Linked DNA regions of Diceros bicornis minor. The protein of the gene in region 1 purifies or fractionates together with the protein of each later gene. This does not show direct contact. Links are inferred from orthologs where the notes say so. Each region holds a gene or a part of one and is shown in the gene's direction. Other genes may lie near its edges.

Region 1 (10,884 bases):
TTCTTTTGCCCTCTGTTCTCATTCTCAGGCAGCTAGCTCCACTCTGCATGGTAGAGGAAACTCCATACTTGCATTCTCACAGCTCCAAATTCAATGGGAAAGAGCCCCAGCAAAAATCCCAGGATTCACGCCATTGGACTAATCTGGTTAATGCCCTCTTCTCTGTGGCCAAGGGAATTTGATGTTCTGATTGACTAAGTCTGACTCGGAGGTGTAGTTCCTGGAACCCACAGTCAAGCCTCTCTGAAAACCATATGCTCTGAGATTGGAGGAATTGTGGTTCCTTGAAGGAAAATTTAGGGGTTTGCCAAAAGAGGGGTAAAATGGATACTGCGTACACAAGAACGCCATCTGGCCACTTCAGTCTCCAGCAGCTCCCAGAAAAAGGCTCGGTAATGGGGCCTGTGGGGCAGACTAGATTGCATTAACATGGTGCTGGTTCTGTCCAGGTCCTCGGGACACTGGCGTAGATGCTGCTCGGTCTCAGCCGCACAGATAGGATGGGAGCTGGATGTCTGGGTGATTGACGTGAAGGCTGCTCTCACAGCCTCACAGCCACTCTGCTCCAGGGGACCCCATTTGTGATTTGTCAGTAATGGGTCTTCTCCCTTGGCTTCCTCAAGCTGTTTTTCTTTCTCTGATATAAAAATAACACTTAAACAGGATCCTGATCCCATGTCCCAGACAAATCAGCTATCCAGAGATAACAGCCAAATTCACCCTAGGGTCAGGGTGCAGTGTCCCTATTACACCCAGTTTTGAGAGTGAGCCAAGAAGTAGGGTTTCAAGAAATATGACACCATAACCGGAGACTAAAATCCAACACCCAAGGAGTATCTATTTCCCAACCAAAGCCAGTACTTTCCACTGATTCGTCCTGCCAAAGAGGATGAGTAGGGCCGGGCTGGCCGCAAGAGCAGGTGTGGGGCTCTGTGAGGCAAGGAGCAGGGGCAGCGCAGAGAGCTTCTGCTTTACAACCACCAAATCACAAAGACCTTAGGGTTGAGCAGCGCTGGTGTCTGCCCGCAGCTGGAAGCCTCCTCCATCCCACCCTTGTTGTGGCCTTGAGATGGCTACTGAGGAATCAGAGCTTTCAGAGCCTTGTAGCTGGAGATCTAGGGGGCCTGGAAGCAGGTGCCGAGCTAACAATTATAGTAACCACTTACGGAGCATGTTTCACATGCCAGGCCTGTGCCTTACTTACATTAAGCTGGGTGGTTAAGAGTGTGGTGTGGGAGTCCGTAAGCACTGGATTAGACCCTCGGCTCCATCACACCAGCTTTGAGATTTTCCTCAAGTTACTAAATCTCTCTGTGCCTCGATTTTTCTCATCTGTAAAATTATACTAATAACAGTATTTACCACTAGAGTTGTGAGGGATTACATGGCATACTGCTCACACCGTGTTTCGCAGGGTCTGGTAGATATTAAGCACTGCATCATTATATACATTTGTAATTTCTAACCCTGCCCCCATCCTGCAATGTAAATGCATTAGTTAGAGAGAGGCTTGGCTGCTGTAGCAGAGGGTCGATTTGTCAACGGCTTAAACAAGATAGAAGTTTATTTCTCTTTATAACATAACAGTCCAGAGGTAGCCAGGCCAGTATGGGAGTGGGGAAGATTCTATCATTTTCAACCTGCATCTCCCACCCTTGGGTTCCAATGGCTGCTCCAGCTCCTGCCATCTTATCATAATTCCAATCAGTAAGAAGGGGAAAATCTTCCTTTAAGGTTGCATATAATGTTGCTGCTCAGATCCCATTGGCCAAGCTGAGTCACATGGCAGTGCTAGCTGCAAAGGAAGCTGGGAAATATAATCTTACACTTAGCTAAAATTGTGGGGATTTACTAGTAGAGGAAGAAGAAGGAGAGAATAGACACCGCTCTGCCAGAGCCCACCGGCTGGCCACCCCTCACAAAGAACACATTCAGCATCCCTCGAAGGGAGGCAAGGCAGGGTCCCATCCAGACACAGCACAGCTCAGAGCCCAGGATCTCTGTGGAACTGGGTATGGAGGGGGTCCTCATGGTCTAGTGACTATAAACCGAAAGGCAGGAAATGGGGCCCTTCCACTCCCCGTAGACACCAGTGGAGGAGGAACAGGATGAATAAACTCAATTAAAACATCCACTGGGAACAGGAAAGCACGGCAATCCCCCGGCGGTCACGGGATCTTAACAGTTTTGCAAATTGCAAAGCTGCTTCCCCCCAAGTGGAGTGAGTTCTTGGGCAACGCATCTGGCCGCCCCTGGTTCTGCTCTCTGGGAGGATCTGCCCTTTCTGCTCTCCTATGTGGCCTCTGGCGTGGACTCCTGGGAAGTTATTCCTCACCCATTATCCTCTGGGGCTGCACTGGAGACCATGTCCCTTCTTCTTGCAGACCTTACGACTTGCACAGCCCTCTTCCTGCTAGTGCAGATTTGGGGTGTTGGGGATAACTGGGGGCTCAAGCCAGGCTGTGCAGACCAGGTGTATGGTTTCTTTGCCAACACAACACCCTCGAAATCTTAGAAGGCTTCTAATTGGTTCCATATTTGAGTAACCACAGCCAATGGACTCATTTGACATAATTTTTACGCTTGAATACTCTGGACTTGGTGAACTTTCTAGTCTCTCTCCAAATTCTGTGCCTGTCTTGAGGCCATCTGAAAAAATATGCTTGGCTGTGAAGGGAACTCCCTTATTCTGCCCACTGGGCCGGCTCCCACTGTCTCTAAACAGGGTGCGCTTGAGAAAGTTTTGGGACCACAGGCACAGTCCTTGCTACGGCTGTGTCTTCCAAACCACCTCTCAAAACCAGCCTGCGTGCATCTCGCTTGTAGGACTTTGCTAGTAGCAGTAAGCAGCAGGCAATACGCACCAATGGTCTGAGTGTTTCCATTCAATTTCTGTGAGTTACAGGCTCTGTTAGCATATGATCACCTCTCAAGGCATCATAGATGCCAGACATGCCGTTTGTTTTGCTATAACAAAGCAATAGTCACCAGCTTACCTGCATGCAATATTTTTCTTTGCTACCTGCTGTTCCGTCTCTGAACCAATACCACTTGTTTTAAGCTTTTAAAAAAGTGCCACTTCCCGATACCAAATTCTGCATTAGTTAGGATATGTGTTTGGTTGCTGTAACAAAAACCCAATTTAAGAACGACTTAAACCAGAAAGTTTATTTCTCTCTCATATAATAGTCTGTAGATAGTCTAAACCTGGTAGGGTGCCTCCAAAACTCTCAACAAGCATCTTTCATCTTGAGTACAAGGTAGCTGCTCTAGGGGCCAGCCCCATGGCATAGTTAAATTCAGCATGCTCCACTTTGACAGCCTGGGTTCGGTTCACAGGCGCAGACCTACACCACTTGTCAGCAGCCATGCTGTGGTGGCGACCCACATACAAAATAAAGGAAGATTGGCACAGATGTTAGCTCAGGGTGAATCTTCCTCAGCAAAAAAAATATAAAAAAAAAAAGATAGCTGCTCTAGCTCCTGCCATCACATTAGCATTCCAGACAGCAGAAAAGAAAAAGGAAGAGGGGAACTCATGCCTCTTTCTTTTAAGGTCTGACCTGAAAGTTGTTCACATCACTTCCCCTAACATTGTAATGGCCAAATTTAGTCACAAGGTCATATTTAGCTGTAAGGAAGATTGGGAATCTAAGTCTTTATTATAGGCAGCCATTCCAGCTAAAATCCAAGCGATTCAAGGAAGAAGAGAAAAATAGATACCGGGAGGCAACTGGCAGTCTCTGGCGCAGAATGTTTTTATCCTCATTTTACGTTCGTGGAAACAGGCTCAGAGAAAACAAGCAACGCTTTCCAAGGTCATATGGCAAGCAAACCACAGAGCATGAATTTAATCAGGTCCATCTGACCCCAAAACAGGCTGTCCATCATATCCAGCCAACATATTTTGGTCATCAGGGTGCCTGCTGTTTTACTTAGAGACAAAAGATATTGACACGTGAATTGTTATGTAAATGCCAGCCCAGCGTACACTGAGACATGCACACAGCACATGCTCTACAAGGAGAATGGTGCAGTGAGGGGGATACGATCAGGGAAGACTTTTTCTTTTTTTTTACTGAGGAAGAGTGGCCCTGAGCTAACATCTGTTGCCAATCTTCCTCTTTTTTTGCTTGAGGAAGATTTGCCCTGAGCTAACATCTGTGCCAACCTTCCTCTATTTTGTATGTGGGTCGCCACCACAGCACGGCTGATGAGTGGCGTAGGATCTGAACCCTCGAACCTGCGCTGCCGAAGCAGAGCAAGTCGAACTTAACCACTACACCACGGGGCCAGCCCCCAGGGAAGACTCTGTTGAAGAGGAGCCCCTGCTACTGTCCTTGTAGATGGAGCATGTCTGAGGTGGAGGGGAGAGTGGAGTATCGCAGGAGAAGGCAGTCGTGTGAGCTGAGCCTGTTCTGTGTCTGGCTTGGCTGTGAAGGTGGCCCAGAACATAAGGGGGTGGGGACTTTCCAGGTCTGATGCACCGCATATCTCCAGGCATGGTCCACTTGATCTTTCCACCATTTGAGGTGTCCTATTAGCTGTGCCTTAGAAGTTCCATCATCCGGGACCAGGCAGGAACAGGCCACAGGGACGCTGTGGAAGGAGGGCTGCATTCACCCCCATGCTATCCAAGACACACGTGGAAAAGCTAAGTCCCTTCCCTGCTCTGTCCTCCTCCACGCTCCCCAGAGGCAGGACAAGGGCTTTGAGGAATGGTGGGAAATACGTTCAATAAATTCAGCAAGAAATCCCGTAATTCATTACTGAGTGGCTGCTCCAGGGCCAGAGCCTGGGATGGAAGAGGCTGGAAGGAGGGGAGGACGGGAGGGGCAGAGAGAGGGAGCTGGAGCAGCTGGGTCAGCAGCATTCCTGATTTGGACATTGACTCAGGCCCCAGGAATGCCAAGGAGGGGGGGCGGGAGCAGCCGCCAGAGCCGGGCAGGGATCCTGTTGGCACGAGGAGATACAGGGACAGCACAGAGTGCAGGATGGGGGAACTGGGGCTCCTGCACACCTGGCCCAACCTCCAAACCACAGGTAGAAACAGGTGTGTCTCCCCCGTGGACAATCGCAGGCCCCAAGCCCTCGAGCACACCTCTAAGGTGATCCTCGCAGCTCCCCACCCGCCCAAACCATCCCCCTCCAACGCCTCCAGCAGAGAGAGGGACGGTCTCCTGGGACTCAAATGGGGACATCTGGACACACACTGGCCACTCTCCCGGGACCACCCACAAACCCCTTATCCCCACCCTCCTAGCTGGCTGCAACTCGCCCTTTCTAACTGCAGCACCACCCACCACTGAAGTTTGTACAGGGAAGAAAGTTGAGGTCAGTCTGCCTCCATTTTGCCCCCTCTGGCGCCTGACAAAGATGAGAGGCCCTCGGGGGGGAACTCAGGACCCTGAGAGCCCCCTCCTCCCGCCCCAGTGCCCTCGCCATGCTCCAAGCCGCCTCCCCCACAGCAAAGGCCTTCTCGCTTGTCCTGGGAGACCCAGGAGGCAGTCCAGGACCGGGCATGGAGATGCCAGGTGCGCCCCTTCCCACCCCACCCCGCCCCCAGGCTGCTGGTCTGGAGCAGCTGAGTGGCTGGACCCTCCTTCCCGCCGTCTGACACCCAATCAGAGCGAAACCGATCTGGGGAGGGCAGAGTGCCAGGGGCCGGGCCCAGAATAGTGCTGCCCAGCCACCGTGTCCCACACTTGCTCTCCGTTGATCCTGTTGGCTGCATGGAGCCAGAGCTGGAGCATGCACTATGCGGGGTACAGGGGTCCCAGGGGGCCGGAGCTGGGCGGCTGAGGCCAGAGGACTGAGAGCACCCCTCACCGTGTGAATGCATGCGTGTGCGCGCGCGTGTGTGTGTTTGGTCTGGATTTTCTCTGTGCTTATGAACATGTGGGTGTCCGTGTGTGTATATTCTTTAAGTGAGTGAGTGTATGCGGTTCTGTGTGTGTCTGGTAAGGGTTGAATATGTGTGTTTCTGAGTGTGTATAAGTGTTTGTGTATGGATGTGTGTGTTTATGTGTGTTTGTGGGGGGGGTGTTTACATGTGTGTGTGTTTATGGTGTGTGTGTGTTTGTGGGGTGTGTGTATGAGTATGTGTTTGTGGAGTGTGTGTATGGGTGTGTGTGTGTTTATGGGGTGTATGTGTATACATGTATGGGTGTGTTTGTGTGTGTGTGTGTGTTCATGTGGTGGGAAAGGAAGGACCTGTGGTTTGGGAACAGAGGACATTGTCCCCACTCCCTCAGACATTCTTCTCCCTACAGGCCCCATCCTGGAGCAGCCTTGGGGGACCTGAGCATCAGGGTAGGTGGGGCTGCCCCCTCCTCATGGGCCCAGCTCTTCTCCCACTTCCTTTGTCCCCCACCTCTCTGGGCCCCCTTCCTCCCCGACTCCACTAACCAGCCTTTTGTCTTCCTCTCCTTCTCCGTCTTTGTTCCTCTTTGTTTCTTCTTCCTCCGTTCCCTCACCTCCTCCTTCCTCTCTCGGAAGAAGAGAGGGGGGATCTAGAGTCTGAAGACTTGGACCCAGCCCTGAATTTATCACTTACTAGCTGTGTGATTTGTGGCAAATTGCTTAACCTCTCTGATCTCAGGTCCCTCATTAATAAATTAGAGATAATAGTAATGCCTTCCTTGTAAGATCACTATGAGGTTTGAATGAGAAATGCATTGGAGAAAAGAACCTTTGGAAGCTTGCAAATGTTAAGTATTATTATTAATAACATTTTAATTGATTTTGTTGTGTTACTCCTTATTAACCAAATGGGCCCCATTCCCCCTTCCAGAGATGAGCTTCCTAGAGCAAGAAGACAGCATTTCATGGCCATCACCAGCCATGACCACCAGCTCAGAAAGAAATCCTGGGAAACAGGGTACTGAGGCCTCAAGACGGACAAAGCAAGAGGCTGTGGAGGCGGGGGAGCTGCCAAGCCCGGGGGAAGGTAAGACCAAGACCAGTTCTGGGGAGATGGGAGCAGAGGCAGTGGGAAGTCCCGGAGCCTGGGGCCAGGGATCCCTCCATACACAGAGGTGGACCCAACCCTCATCTTGTGGGTTTGGGCTCAGTCTCCCCATCTGGGAGAGGTCAACTGCTTTGTAGAGCCAGGGGCTCAACACAGCCAACTCAGAAAGATGGGACAGAGCCGCTATCTGGTGTGACTCTCTGAGACTCACCTGCAAAATGGGGGCCCCAGCATCCAGGTTACCCAAGGCCACTGTGAGGATGAACTGAGACAGTAGATGAGAGAGTGTTTTGGAAGATGGAGTTACTGTCCTCTCCCCCAAACAGGTCCACAATCCAAGCCAGCTGCTGAATCCACCGGGCTGGAGGCCACATTCCCCAAGGCCACACCCTTGGCCCAAGCTGCTCCCTTGGCCAGAGTGGACACTCCACCAACAGAGAGGGACATCCTTCCCCCTGACTATGCAGCCTCAGCCGTTGGCTCGAGCACAGATGATCTGGATCTGGGCATAGAGTTCTCAGCCACAGCAGCCTGGGGGTGTGAGCTCGGCCTGGTGGAAGAGAGGCCTGCCCGGTGCCCATCCCCGAAGGACCTGTTACCCAGGCTGGGCTGGGACGATGAGCTGCGGAAGCCAGGGGCCCAGGTCTACATGCACTTCATGCAGGAGCACACCTGCTACGATGCCATGGCAACCAGCTCCAAGCTGGTCATCTTTGACACCATGCTGCAGGTGAGGCCACCACTCGCCCCACCTCCATCCTGATGGCACTGCAGCCTGTGTCACATCCTCAAGGACACCCTGCCAGGCCAGGCCCCCTGCAAGATCCCTTCCAGGACTCCTTCTTAGAGTCATGGAGACCAGTGCGGGGAGAGCTTCTACTCTCTCCTCCCCAAAATTGTCATGGCAGCTCTGCCACTTATCTCTGTAGGATCTTGAGTTGGTTACTTTACCTTTCTCATCTCTAATATGGGGATAGGAATGCCCACCTTGCCCTACAAGTTTCAGAGGACTCCTGGGACAACCCAGGATAAATGGGAGCACTTTGCAAAGTCCTGAAGTACGTGGAAGATCTGGCAGGGTGACTTAGGACAAGGAGCAGGGGACTGCCGGTAACAGAAAAACAGGATGCGTTCTGGTCCCTGCTCTTCCGTTGGGCTGAGCTACGAAACGCCTGATTCCATTCTTACCATCGTGTATATCAGAGCGGTGTTGCCCAAAGCATGGCGTATGTATCGTCCACGGGGCACAATTTGATTGTAGTGGTATATGAACAGATATATTTCTTTTTGGAGCTTTGTATTTATTTTAATATGTATTAGAAAAATACAAGCAGCACCTATAGATAGTATTGCTTAGGATGAAGCTAAAATGAGTCAATGTGAAACTTATTTAGAGAAAAACGTTTTGTAAATATTACATAAATCATTACCAGCCCCAGTGGTCTAGTGGTTAAGATTCGGTGCTCTCCCCACCGCGGCCCGAGTTCATTTCTGGTCAGGGAACCACACCACCCGTCTGTCTGTTGGTTGTCGTCCTGTGGTGGCTGCGTGTTGCTGTGATGCTGAAAGCTATGCCACCAGGATTTCAAATACCAGCAGGGTCACTCATGGTGGATAGGTTTCAGCGGAGCTTCCAGACTAGACAGAGTAGGAAGGAGGACCTGGCCACTCGCTTCCGAAAGAAATTGGCCATGAAAGCCCTGTGAATAGCAGCGGAGCATTGTCTGATAGAGTGCCAGAAGGTGAGAGGATGATGCAGAAAGACTGGACAGGGTTCACTCTGCTGGACACAGGGCCGCGAGGAGTTGGAATGGACTCTATGGCACTAACAACAACAAAAATGTAGTTAAAAATACCTCTAGTACTTAGATTAGCAAAAACTATTCTGTGTGTGTCCACACACATATGACTTCAGGGTGGAAATACTGAGTTAGTTTCCCACACCTTGGTGTGCCTGCTGGAGGAGTCATCAGGGTAGCAAATGTGGGTGACAAGGATCACGTCTAGGGGGTGCCATGACGTGAGAAAGGCAGGCACGTGGGACAGGGTACCACTGAAGCGCAGTGAGAAACTCACCCTCGACTGTTCTCCCCGGCCCTCAGATCAAGAAGGCCTTCTTTGCGCTGGTGGCCAACGGCGTCCGGGCAGCACCTCTGTGGGACAGCAAGAAGCAGACTTTTGTGGGTGAGGAGGGGAAAGGAAAGGAGGGACCTTGTGAGGCAGTTCTGGGGCTGAGCTCGAATGCACCACAGGCTCAGCAGACCCTTGGCTGAGCCAGTCAGGGGCCAGTGTGGGGGAATGTTTGAACCTGGTCTTGGGGTGGCCACCTGGGAGACCCCATCTGTGAAGAGTTGTGACCAGCCGACCCCTCCAGCTCTGCTACCCCATGGTCCCATGTCATAGGTGCTAGGTAGGAAAAGAGGAAAGGGAGAGGAAGAAATTAGGAGAGTGGGAAAGGGGAGAAGGAGAGGAGTTACATGGGAAGTGTACAAGGGAGAACCCCATTTCTCAAGTGTGGGAGGGGCAGCCCTTCTCCTCTTTCCACAATTCCCACCATTCCCACCGTTGTCTCAGAACTGGGACTGCAGGGTCTGACTCCTCAACCTGCCTCCCACCACGGACCCCAGGCTGACCCCCTGTACCTCCCCTCCCAACCCCGCAGGGATGCTGACCATCACAGACTTCATCCTGGTGCTGCATCGCTATTACAGGTCCCCCCTGGTGAGAACTGGACTGGGAGTCCCGGGGGCACCCATCTCCGCTGGGGCAGAGGGGAGTTCGGGGAGCTTGGTGCCCGAGGGGCTCACGTCTGATTTCTGGAGTCCTGTCGATGTCTCTAGGTCCAGATCTATGAGATTGAAGAACATAAGATTGAGACCTGGAGGGGTGAGCGGGCAGAGGGGACCTGGAAATGGGCTGAGGGTGTGTGGGTGAGCATGGGGGTTTTCTGGAGGGAGCAGGGGAAGGGTGAGAGGGAGCCCACAGGCTGGGGGCTGCCAGGTGAGGCGGGGCGGCCAGCTCCCTTGGACTGACCCGGCTTTTCCTGCAGAGATCTACCTTCAAGGCTGCTTCAAGCCGCTGGTCTCCATCTCTCCCAACGACAGGTAAGCGCGCCCAGCAGGTCACCTGAGCCTCCTTGCCCTGCACAGTCCCCTTGACCAGCCCTTCAGTTCTGAGCTCACCAGCTCATCCTTGGAGACCAGGCAGCCTTGGCACCCCGTCCTCCTTTCTAGGGTGCTGGGGTGGGGGGTGTCTCTCCCCAGACTGCCCCAGGCTCACTGCTCCCACCTTCACAGCCTGTTCGACGCCGTCTACACCCTCATCAAGAACCGGATCCACCGCCTGCCGGTCCTGGACCCCGTCTCAGGGGCCGTGCTCCACATCCTCACACACAAGCGGCTGCTCAAGTTCCTGCACATCTTTGTGAGCCTGGGCGCAGCCTCCAAGGGCAGCCTGAGGGCTGAGAAGTCTTCGGCCCTAGGGGTGGGGGAGGGAGCAGCTGGGAGCCCTCTGGCGGCCGCTCCACCCTGATGCCACCTGTCTCCAACCCAGCAGGGCACCCTGCTGCCCCCACCCTCCTTCCTCTCCCGCACCATCCAAGATTTGGGCATCGGCACGTTCCGAGACTTGGCCGTGGTGCTGGAAACGGCGCCCATCCTGACCGCGCTGGACATCTTTGTGGACCGGCGGGTGTCTGCGCTGCCTGTGGTCAATGAAGCTGGTACTTGCACCCAGGACGGGGGCTCTGGCTGGGGTGGGGTGGTGGGGAGCCGGGGTCTGTGTGGCATTAGCTTGGGGCCGAGGGGGGAGTCAGGGCCAGAAGTGTCTGCCTGCCTGGAGCTTTGGGCCAGCAACATAGCCTCTCTGTGCCTCAGTTTCCCTATTTGTGAAATGGGGGATCTTAATAACACCCA
Region 2 (9,955 bases), on another chromosome or scaffold:
AAGTCCGGGCATCAAGTCTGGTTAGGGAGAAAAAGACTAATAATGCTAGTAACCACTACCATCACAACAAACACTCCACAGGCATCTTCTTGGTTAAGCATCACACAGCTCGGTACTATTTTTATTTCTCTTTTACAGATAAGGAATCTGAAGCTCAGAGAAAGGAATTCAGGGTGAATGGCAGAGCTAGAATTCAAGTCAGGCCTGTTTCTCTAGTGTCTGTCCTCTTACCTACTGAAGACATGTGAACCAAAGGGAGAACGGACGGAACAATCTGTATCTAACTGTGCTGCTCCACCGCGCGCACAGGCAGCATAGCAGCTCAGCGAAGGGAAGGACAGACTGCAGGGGGCAGGGAGCACTTCGTGGGAAAATTGGGATTCTCAAGAAAGCACAAGAAACAGAGACACAGCAGGTACAAATGACTTAACATCAGAGTGTGGACATAGTGAGACAGAGGCAGAGGTTTGTTTTCAGGATTGGTGGGAAATATGGTCAGGAGGACCAGGAGGGGACAAATTGCAGGGGCTCTTGAAAGTCATACTGAGGACTCGGTCCCCAACACTGCTCTCCAGCACGACAAGACACAAGTTGAAGACTCATGGACCTGAGAAAACCTCCTTAGGAGTTAATGATGTCATGTGCTAGAGGGCCCTGCCCCGCCCTCTCTTTCCCTGGAAGGAGGGAGGGCAAGGCTGGTGACCAAATCCTCCAAGGAATCCTGCACCGCAGAAGCCGTTTGCCTTCAGAGGTTGGAATTTCTATCTATGTTCAAGTTCTTCCTCAGAGACAGAGGCTGAAGGGGACCAGCCAGGCCGGGGGATGTATGTTTGCCAAGGGTCAAGGACTCTCTTTCTAGCCTTGGCTGTGAACCCAGGAGGAGGGGACTGAAGTGTTCCTATGAGCAGAGACTTGCCCTGTGATGGGGCCGAATAGAGGCCCAGTTGGATACTTCTCCTGACAAGACAAGACAATGAGGGCCCCAGCTCCACCAGAAGGAAAGGCTATAAGCGCAAACCAGGAATTACTGAGGGCTCCTGGGACACAGGGTCACACCCTTCAGTGAACCAACAACTCAGGGGCACATGCTGGCTCCTCACCCCATACCCACCCACCTTACACACAGGGATCCCCTGTGCAGATACCAGCCCGTTGGCCAGATGGGCATTCAGGCCACGCTATCATGCTACCAAACTTGCAAGAAACAGTTCGGCTTTGAGAACCCAATCCAATCCTAATGCAAGCTCCCAGAACACCTCTTGAGGAAGACAGTAAGCCTCATCTCTGGAGCCTCTGTGGCTTGTCTAAGGCGCCTCTGAGGAGAACCAGAGATAAGCAGGGGTGTGCCTAAGATCAAGGCCCAGAGCTGTTCAGCATCAATCGTTGACCAAACCTCAGTGAACTAACTGATTAAGCCCTGGGCACAGGAGCAGCTGACCCAGGCGGCCCAGGGAAGGCCAACTACTTAGGTCCAGTGGCCCACAGAAGGCAGAAAGCCTTGGGACAGGCCTCCCCACTCTCCCAGAGCCAGGCTGCCACAGATATGGAGTAAAAGGGCGGAACCAAACCACTTGTCCACCAAGACACAACTGTGGGAGGCCAAGGGGGTCTGAGCAGCTGGAAGGCTTTCATAAGTTGGTGGCCACTGGGCTTTTCCTTTTCTTGTTTTTCTTTAAAAACAGTTTAAAAATAAAGTTATGTAGTTTATACCTAATGTAGAAGATGCCTGGGCAGCAGTGTAAAAGGAAAGCAGCTTGTGGGAAAGATTATTCTGACAACACACCCGGGGCACGCCAGGAGGAGGAAGAACTGGAGGCTGGAAACCGGCTGTGAGCATCACGCATGTCCGCAGAAACGGCAAGGATGGAGAGAACAGACTTGGAGGACCCTCGAGGGGAAAAGCAGTCAGGACGTCACGGGGGGTAGTGAGTGGTCATGAAGTGATACCACCAAAGCAAGTAGCAGAGCCTGGGCACCCAGAATGCACTCAGTGAATGGTGCTTTGGATTCCTGCTATTACTGATGGCTGAAGAACACGGGCTGTGAGGCTAGAGGTGGCAAAGAAGTCATATTGTGGGTGACAGGAAAATGTGGCAGAAAGGGGGCAGGCAAGGAGGAACTTTGGGAGAGAGGTGACCTATCCCTTGATGGACGCATGCAGTCTGGGGTGACAGAAGACAACTGAGTAGAACCTAAGTGCGTGACCTGGATAATCATTCCTGTACCACAGCCACCTGTTTTTGTAAATAAAGTGTATGGAACAACACACTGGGACAGGCTTAATGGCCGATTCATCCTTATACCCCCAGAACCTCAGTGTAGAGCCCAGCCCACACCAGGTGCCTGGTGAATGCCTGACAGATGAAAGGAATTAGAGGAAAACACACGGGAACTTGTACGGGAAACAGTCTGCCAGATCCAGAGACACATACAGATCAGAAGAGCTGTGGAAATGCCAAAGCTCTCTCAGAAAGAGCAGAGATTCAAAGTGGACCCACCACCCCCACCCCTCACAGCACCAGCCAGACCTAAAGAGCACGATCATCTTCGCTGAGGATGAGGATGAAACATGGTGCACTCCGTTCACCCCGCACCACGCTAAACTCTACGTGCCTTACCTCACTGTAACGCCTACAACAGCTCTATGAGCTAAGCCCAGGGCTGGGCAAACCACAGCCCATGAGCCAAATAAAGCCTTGCACCACCTATCTCTGAACAGCCTACAAGAGCTAACATCCATGCCAATCCTTCTCTTTTTGCTGAGGAAGACTGGCCCTGAGCTAACATCCGTGCCCATCTTCCTCCACTTTACATGGGACCCCCGCCAAAGCATGGCCTGACAAGCGGTGCATCGGTGCGCGCCCGGGATCCGAACCCGCGCTGCCAGCAGCGGAGCGCATGCACTTAGCTGCTACGCCGTGGGGCCAGCCCCCCTGGTTTTTACATTTTTAAGTGGTTGGAAAAAAATCAAAAGAAGGATATTTTGAGATGTGAAAATTAAACAAAACTCAAATTTCAGTGTCCACAAATAAAGTTTTATTGGAACACAACCACATTTGTTCATTTACTTGTTCTGTGGCTGCTTCTCCGTTACACTAGCACAGTAGAGAGGTCAAGACAGACACTGTGTGTGGCATCTTATCGCTTCCCACTGCTGCCCAGCGCATGACAAGTCTCAGTGACATGGTTATAACTGACAGCACTTTGAGCACCTCACAGACCACCTGTCTCATCATCTATCTGTGTGAAAAGATGTTTCCAAAGATGAAATATAGAAAATCTCTTTACAGATGAGCATTAACAGACAAACATTTGCAATTTAGTTTGGTGATTTGGAACACTAACCATGAACCTCAATTAAGCAAAATGTTATCTTCAAAAAGAGGAATCGAATTCTTCCCATTTGTAGACCTATATTACAAAGATTTTGTATTAAATCATTATATTTTGAATTTCATTGCTTAAAAATTTGTGCTTTGTTGTCTCTGTTGTTATTTAAGTACCTACATAATACCCTCGATTTTGCCTCTTGACCAGCAAAGCCTAAAATATTTACTACCTGACTCTACAGGAAAAATGTGCTGAGCTAGACACTCATGTCCTCACTCCCAGGGTGAGGAGAGTGTGGCACAGAGAGGTTGTGTAACGTGCCCACACTTACACGGCTGGTCAGTGGTAACAGCAGGATTTAAACCCAGGCAGCTGGCTGCAGAGTCTGTGCTCCTAAAGACACATTGACTCTATGCCTTTCTTCCCAGCTGTGACCCCCAAACAAGTGACTTACGTGCCTGTAGAATCTACTGCCACAGCCCGGACCCCACCACGGTGACAGAGAATCTTCGCCAGTGGCTCCTTCACAGCTGGACTCCATAAGGACACAGTACCTGGACATCAGAGGAGAAGAGCTGAAGTTACTAACAGGGCGCTGAGGTGATTAAACCTGAGAAAATGGGGACTCAACGCCAAGAGGTAACAAGAGCGGGAGGTAAGTACTCATGAAGTACAGTATAGAAAAAAGCAAGTCAGCATGGTCAGGGAGTCAAAGCCCAGCCAGGGACGCACCATTGCTGTGTCCAAGATGGATGACGGCATTGGAAGGGTTCTGAGTCATGACGTCGAGCCGTCCAGCCCGAGCATTCAGAGCTGCCACGATCTTTCCCACTGACACGTCCAGGTAGGTCAGAAACCCTGTCTCTGACTATGAGAGAGAGAGAAAGAGAGGAAGAGAATGAGTCGTGATTGCCCTCTGTCCTCCCTCCACTGTGGTCCCAGGGGAAGGGCAGTCTTCTCCAGGGCTGCCACCAGGTCCCTGTGCTCCACAGCCACTCACAGCTGTGGCCAGGAGGAAGTGGAAGGGCAGGAACTCAAGCCGCGTGACTCGGTCACAGCGGCGGATGCAGTGGAGCTCGATGCCCTGGTTGTCGTAGATGTGAAGCCAGCAGTTCTGAGCAACAGCAAGCAGTGCCTCCGAATGCAGAAACCTGGGAGGACGGGAGAAGTGGTTCAGTGGGAAAAGGCGTCACGGGCTGTCACTCAATCAGGGATGGGCTGTCTCACCCCACTGACCGGATGTCCCGCACGGCCTCCATGACGTTGATCTCACACATGAGCTTCTTTGTCACCCAGTCAAGTGCGGCCACATGACCCCGGCGCCCTCCAAAAGCCAGGTGTCTGTTGGAGGTGGGGTATAGGCACGGTGTCAATGCAGGGGAGCACCCTGACTCAGACCTTTTGAGGTCTGCCCCACGCCAGCTCCTCCTCTCCAGGTGAGAGAAGAGATGTTGCTACACATGCTCTCTCTCACATGCAAGCAAATCACAGGACCCTCCCCACTCAACACCCCAGACATACGCTGGTGTGGCTGAGGTGGGCTTGGCTGACGTGATAAAGAGACACCGCTATGTCCTAGTTCCAGAGTCACTGGAATTCAACCTTACCTCCCAGTTCGAGAGTAATTCAGCCTGTAGGGTCCAAACTGTCTCAAGTTCAAGTCAAAATGCTGGGAAAGGGAAGAGCAAAAAGAAAAAGGATCATGAAGAGCTGGCTCCCTTCAGTAATTCCCTCTTCTAGTCCCCATGTCCATCTTGCTCTGCTCCACCAATCAACTCACTGGCCCCTTTTCCATCCTCAGGCTCACCTTGGCTGCACTTGCAATGTCCACAGCCTCCACGATGTCGGCCTGGCGTATCTTTGCCGTGTCCTCCCCATCCTCCCCTTCCAGAAACCTGCAAGTGAGTGGTAAGGTTGCAGCAAAGCTTCCTAATATGAAGTGGGTGTACCAACATAAAAAGGAGAAAGAAGAGTGCCATAAAGCGGGGGCTGGGGAGGCCCACATTAGGGTCCACTTACCCAGGTTCCTCAGCAAGCAGCAGCTCAGAACGAGCAGCTTTGACACTTATCTCCTCTTCCTCAGCTTCAGCCACCTCAACTCGGCTTCGGGTTTTGGACTTAGAATGTGGCAGCTATAACATCGTTGGTGGTAGAGAAGCGCGAGAAGAACCAGCAAATATGTGGAGTCACAAGACAGCCACCTGGTCCCGCCTCCACTCATCTCACCCAGTCACTCCCTGCTTGCAACCCCCCCCCGCCCCCCTCCCCCCCGGCTGGTCCTCACCTTTTTGGATTTGTCAATGCGACAGAACTTCTGAGCCACCTCCACAGGCACGGGGGCGGGGCCTGGAAATGGATCCTGCGCCTGGGGCAGGGAGGAGGCAATTAACAGACAGGCTCGAGGCTCGGGTTAATCCCAACCCTCGCAACCTCAAAGCCCAAGGCGACTTGCCCCGCCACCCGATCCGGTCCCAGGCTCACCCCGGACAAGCTCCGCTGAGGCTCCGGATTTCTCCGTTCTCGGGATTTCTTCGGGACCTGGGGCTTCTTGGAGATCCGAGACTTCTTTGTGATGTAATTATTCTTTAGCCTCTGGGGGCGGAGCTCTCGATTTCTCTTCTTGTTCTGAGGGGGGCCTGGAGAGGCTGCGGCAGCTGTCGGAGTGGTCTCTTCCTCCCAGTATCGCCGCGGTTTCTACCGGCAGATCAGGATCCCTGATACTCCGCTGCCCGCGCCCCGCCCCTCCGACCCCGCAGTTAAAAATTTCCCTTCCACCCCAGGGAGGTCTCTACCTTCTTCTTGGCCTGAAGTTTGTCCTTCTTGGGCGGGACACCCCTTCCTGGCTTGGGGGCCGTCTCCATCTAGCCCACCTGAACCACGATCCACGTGCAAACTTCTCTCAGCTGTCCAACAGTCCGCTTGAAAACTCCCGGAAGTCCTCTGGCCGTCATCCAATCAGCACGCACCGGGTCTGAAGCCTTCCAGGCGCCATCTTGAGTGAGGGCGCGCTCCCCAGGGAGGTGCGGGGCAGCCTCGCCCTCGCCCACCTGAGCGGCAGGTTTTGCCCAAGTAATGAAAGAAAGGCAAATCCGGGGCCAGGGCACAAGGAACGAGGCAGTTTCTTTTTCCAGCTTCGTTTCCCCATCTTGCCTAAAACCTTCCGAGTCCAGTCTTTTTAGCAGAACACCATTCATTAAACATGTCAAAACTACAGTTCCCGGCATACGTCAGAGGACAGCTTCCGGCGCCGTCTTTTCCCAGCATTCTTTGTTTGCTTCCGGGTTTATTAGTACTGAAGGGAGAACGTGAGTAGGGTAGGGTGTCGGTTGAGGGGTCTGGGGTCTCGTTTCGCCCGGCACCTCGTGGGGCCGGGGTAGAGTCGATATCCGGGACGGAGAGAGGCTGCGGTGCCCCGAGAGGCTGCCTCTGAAGAGCGCTGTCATTTCCGCAGGCCCGGCCAGAAAGGGAGCTCGGGCACGTTCCAGAGTGTGAGACCCAGTGCCCCTCGCCCGCTCGCCGCAGGCTTCCGTCCCCGCCATGGCAGAGCTGATCCAGAAGAAGCTACAGGGAGAAGTGGAGAAATACCAACAGCTACAGAAGGGTAAGGGGGCAGGGTCGGTGCAGCCTCGCCCCAATCCCCTCACTCGCTCAGAACCCAAAGCCATCCCAAGATGTTTTCTGCCCCACCCAGGCCCCCGCGTGCAGCCCCTTCTCCACCCACTGACCCGCCGTCCCCATCCTTGTCCACTTCCTCAGCTCCATTTTCTGATTGGGAGGGATCAGGGGACACATTTGTTGATGTCTCTAATCAAGTCCTTCTTCCCACCCCCCAGACTTGAGTAAATCCATGTCAGGGCGGCAGAAACTTGAGGCACAACTAACAGAAAATAATATCGTGAAGGAGGTGAGAGACTGGGATTTGTGGGGCGAGGAGGGACCTGTAGTGGCAGTGATTGTGATCATATATATCCCATTCTTCCATCAGGAACTGGCCCTGCTGGATGGGTCCAACGTGGTCTTTAAACTTCTGGGTCCTGTGCTGGTCAAACAGGAGCTGGGGGAGGCTCGGGCCACAGTGGGGAAGAGGCTGGACTACATCACAGCTGAAATGTGAGTCTTTGTTCCACTGCCCTGTGATGCATCTGACACTGTTGGAGTAGGGGTGTTGAGGAGCCATTGTAGAGTAGCTCTTCAGGGTAGCCCCCACTTGTCCAGTTCCTCTAACCCCTTCCCTTTTAATGCTGCTTGTCCTTCCCCTAGATCTCAAGTTTTCCACCAATCTCTTTCTTGTCTGCAGCACACTCAATAGTAAGTCTCCCTCATTTCTCATTTGCTTTTTTGTCTCTCTTGCCTCTCCTCAGTAAGCGATATGAATCCCAGCTCCGGGACCTCGAGCGGCAGTCAGAGCAACAGAGGGAGACCCTTGCCCAGCTGCAGCAGGAGTTCCAGCGGGCCCAGGCAGCAAAGGCAGGGGCTCCTGGGAAGGCCTGACCCTGTGGTGGGGGGGCGGGGAGGGGAGGGAATGAGGCAGCTCTAGGATCTATACTGTAGCTAATAAAATGTGAAAACTTCTAGCTGTTTCCTGACCAGACACTTCTGTGGTAATTCTCCATCCATTCCCCCCGCCCCTTCCACCTTATATATATGTCACCTACATTACTCCCACAGGTCCAGATTCTTGCAACTGGAATCTGTCTGTGGTAGAGTAATCGTTTTTTCTTTCTTGAGACTAAAATCTCTCTTAAACTTACTACTTGCCTGTGTATACAACCCTTAACTCCCTCTTATCTTTGTTGGCACACGTCTTTAGGAAACATGGGAAGGGCATTTGTAATGCAGGAATTGTTGGGAAAGGCAGTTTAATTGAAGAACTCACAATTCTCTAACCTGAAACCCCAGGCTGAAATGTGGTGACCCTCCTTGCTATGGTTACTTGTTATCCTCCAAATAGTCCTGGTGTCTCTCTTAGTTCTTTTTAGCCTCTCTCTTCCTAGAATTTGTTTGAATGTAGCTTAAACTGATTTAAAATCCCAACATGTAATGCTTTGTGATGTCCTCTAAGTTTGTCCATTGTCCACAAAGTTGTTCTTCCATTTCTTTGTCCAAAAATCGTTTCTTACAAACTTGCAGCCAGGGGAGGTCTTCATACTGATCACTTTAATTGGGTGGCTAGTACTTGACATGGGTCTGTGACAAATGAGGAGAAAAATTTAAGAGCAAATAAAGGGACCGGGTTAGAGAGGTTGCTGGGGAGAAATAAACCATTCTGAGGAAACCATTTTCACCAGCACCTCGCTTTCAGCTCTTCATGGGGATAGAAAACACTGGGCTCCTTCTTGTTCCATGGTGTCTACCTTCAGCCAACTCCCCACCCCTACTCCCAGCAGCTGGTTCCCATGCACTGCAAGGACAGGGGGGTAGAATTCAGGTAGTGTTTTGGTTTATTATCTTAGTGTTGTCACAGTGACATGAACCCCCACAGTAGGAATAGGAACTCCTACAAGAACCTACTTTGTGCCATCCCCTCTCCCCAGGGCTCAGAGCCTCTAGGCTTTTCCTCTCCCCTTAATTCTAGGCCTTGCCTTGGCCCTTGGCATGCTAGGATGTGGCCAGGAATCAGAAATTGACCCCCTTTCCCAGTACTAGGCGTGTCGTGCATTCATAGAAATTGGGGAGCTGTACACAGGTTTCCAGCTTGGTTACCAAGAGTACCAGTTCCCACAGGGCTGGATCCCTCGGCTGTCTGGTAAACTAGCAGCACTTCACTGCCCCAGGGTGGTTGGCCACCTCTCTGGATTTCTTCCCAATGCGACACAACTGCCATCATTCAGGATGCCTGCCCACGTCTGGTATGGCCACCATGAGTTCTGTGAGCCAACAGGGCTTCCTCCTCAGAACAGTGCCCGGGCAATCTTCCTCCCTGTGGCCTTGATCCTGGGAAAGGAACCCCCTCCTCCCTCGCTTGGGGGAGTTCCTGAGGCAGAGGAACTGCCGGTGAGGCCCAGTGTAGTAGTCGAGGGCCTTCGCCGTTGCCGCAGGAGGAAATCGTGTGAAGCTCCATCCATAGCATAGAAAACATTAGCCGAGGGTGGGATGGTCAGCTCTGTAAGTTCAGAGAGGGGATGTTGAGCACAAACACAGTCGTTCCCCCCACATCCACCCAGATGTGGAAGCTTTCCCACTGGTGGGCACCACTCTCCTGAGTCTGCCTCCCCTCGTGGCCTCTGACCTCGCTCCCCTGGTAGCAGCTGCACTAGCTCATACTCCGAAGCCACTGCAGAATCACGATTGTTTTTCTTAAGGACACGACTGATGACACTTGGAGCCTTGTCCTGGCTTGTCACCTGGCAGGACAGGAGACCAAAAGAGCAATAAATTGGCCATGATGATCTCTACTTCCCATCCTTTCAACCCTAGCCACTGATCCCAACCAAAAAAGGTTACCCGTGTCCAGCACTTGTGAGTGACCAGGGAAACCCAATATGGTGGCTCCCTGTCCTCCACAGGCCAGCCCACACGGTGCCCAGTGAAACAGGGCTGCTTCCCTGCAGGGAACTGCTGTTGGTTCTGAAAACCTAATATGGCCACCAAAAGTTCAAGGAGCAGCAGCTAATGCAAAGTAGCC

The links. Proteins that work in one complex are often made in the same cells at the same time.
Region 2: the proteins of PRKAG3 (region 1) and PFDN6 purify together in Homo sapiens (affinity purification with mass spectrometry; 3 studies listed by BioGRID and IntAct, with this or other methods). This does not show direct contact. The link is inferred for Diceros bicornis minor from reciprocal best matches to the Homo sapiens genes PRKAG3 and PFDN6.

Annotation. Positions count from the first base shown.
Region 1 is NC_080776.1:9,183,200-9,194,083, reverse strand, and holds the start of PRKAG3 (5'-AMP-activated protein kinase subunit gamma-3), read left to right. Parts: upstream 1-5,684; 5' UTR 5,685-5,732; coding exon 5,733-5,765; intron 5,766-6,272; coding exon 6,273-6,312; intron 6,313-6,793; coding exon 6,794-6,949; intron 6,950-7,296; coding exon 7,297-7,700; intron 7,701-9,072; coding exon 9,073-9,154; intron 9,155-9,632; coding exon 9,633-9,691; intron 9,692-9,810; coding exon 9,811-9,856; intron 9,857-10,019; coding exon 10,020-10,074; intron 10,075-10,266; coding exon 10,267-10,393; intron 10,394-10,522; coding exon 10,523-10,691; intron 10,692-10,884. UniProt on the Homo sapiens protein: AMP/ATP-binding subunit of AMP-activated protein kinase (AMPK), an energy sensor protein kinase that plays a key role in regulating cellular energy metabolism.
Region 2 is NC_080753.1:31,169,850-31,179,804, reverse strand, and holds PFDN6 (prefoldin subunit 6), read left to right. Parts: upstream 1-6,655; 5' UTR 6,656-6,867; coding exon 6,868-6,931; intron 6,932-7,163; coding exon 7,164-7,234; intron 7,235-7,315; coding exon 7,316-7,440; intron 7,441-7,691; coding exon 7,692-7,821; 3' UTR 7,822-8,080; downstream 8,081-9,955. Other genes in the region: WDR46 (WD repeat-containing protein 46), read right to left, coding at 3,785-3,884, 4,063-4,198, 4,331-4,481, 4,567-4,671, 4,938-4,999, 5,138-5,225, 5,350-5,462, 5,615-5,695 and 2 more; RGL2 (ral guanine nucleotide dissociation stimulator-like 2), read right to left, coding at 9,222-9,433, 9,560-9,674. UniProt on the Homo sapiens protein: Binds specifically to cytosolic chaperonin (c-CPN) and transfers target proteins to it. Binds to nascent polypeptide chain and promotes folding in an environment in which there are many competing pathways for nonnative proteins.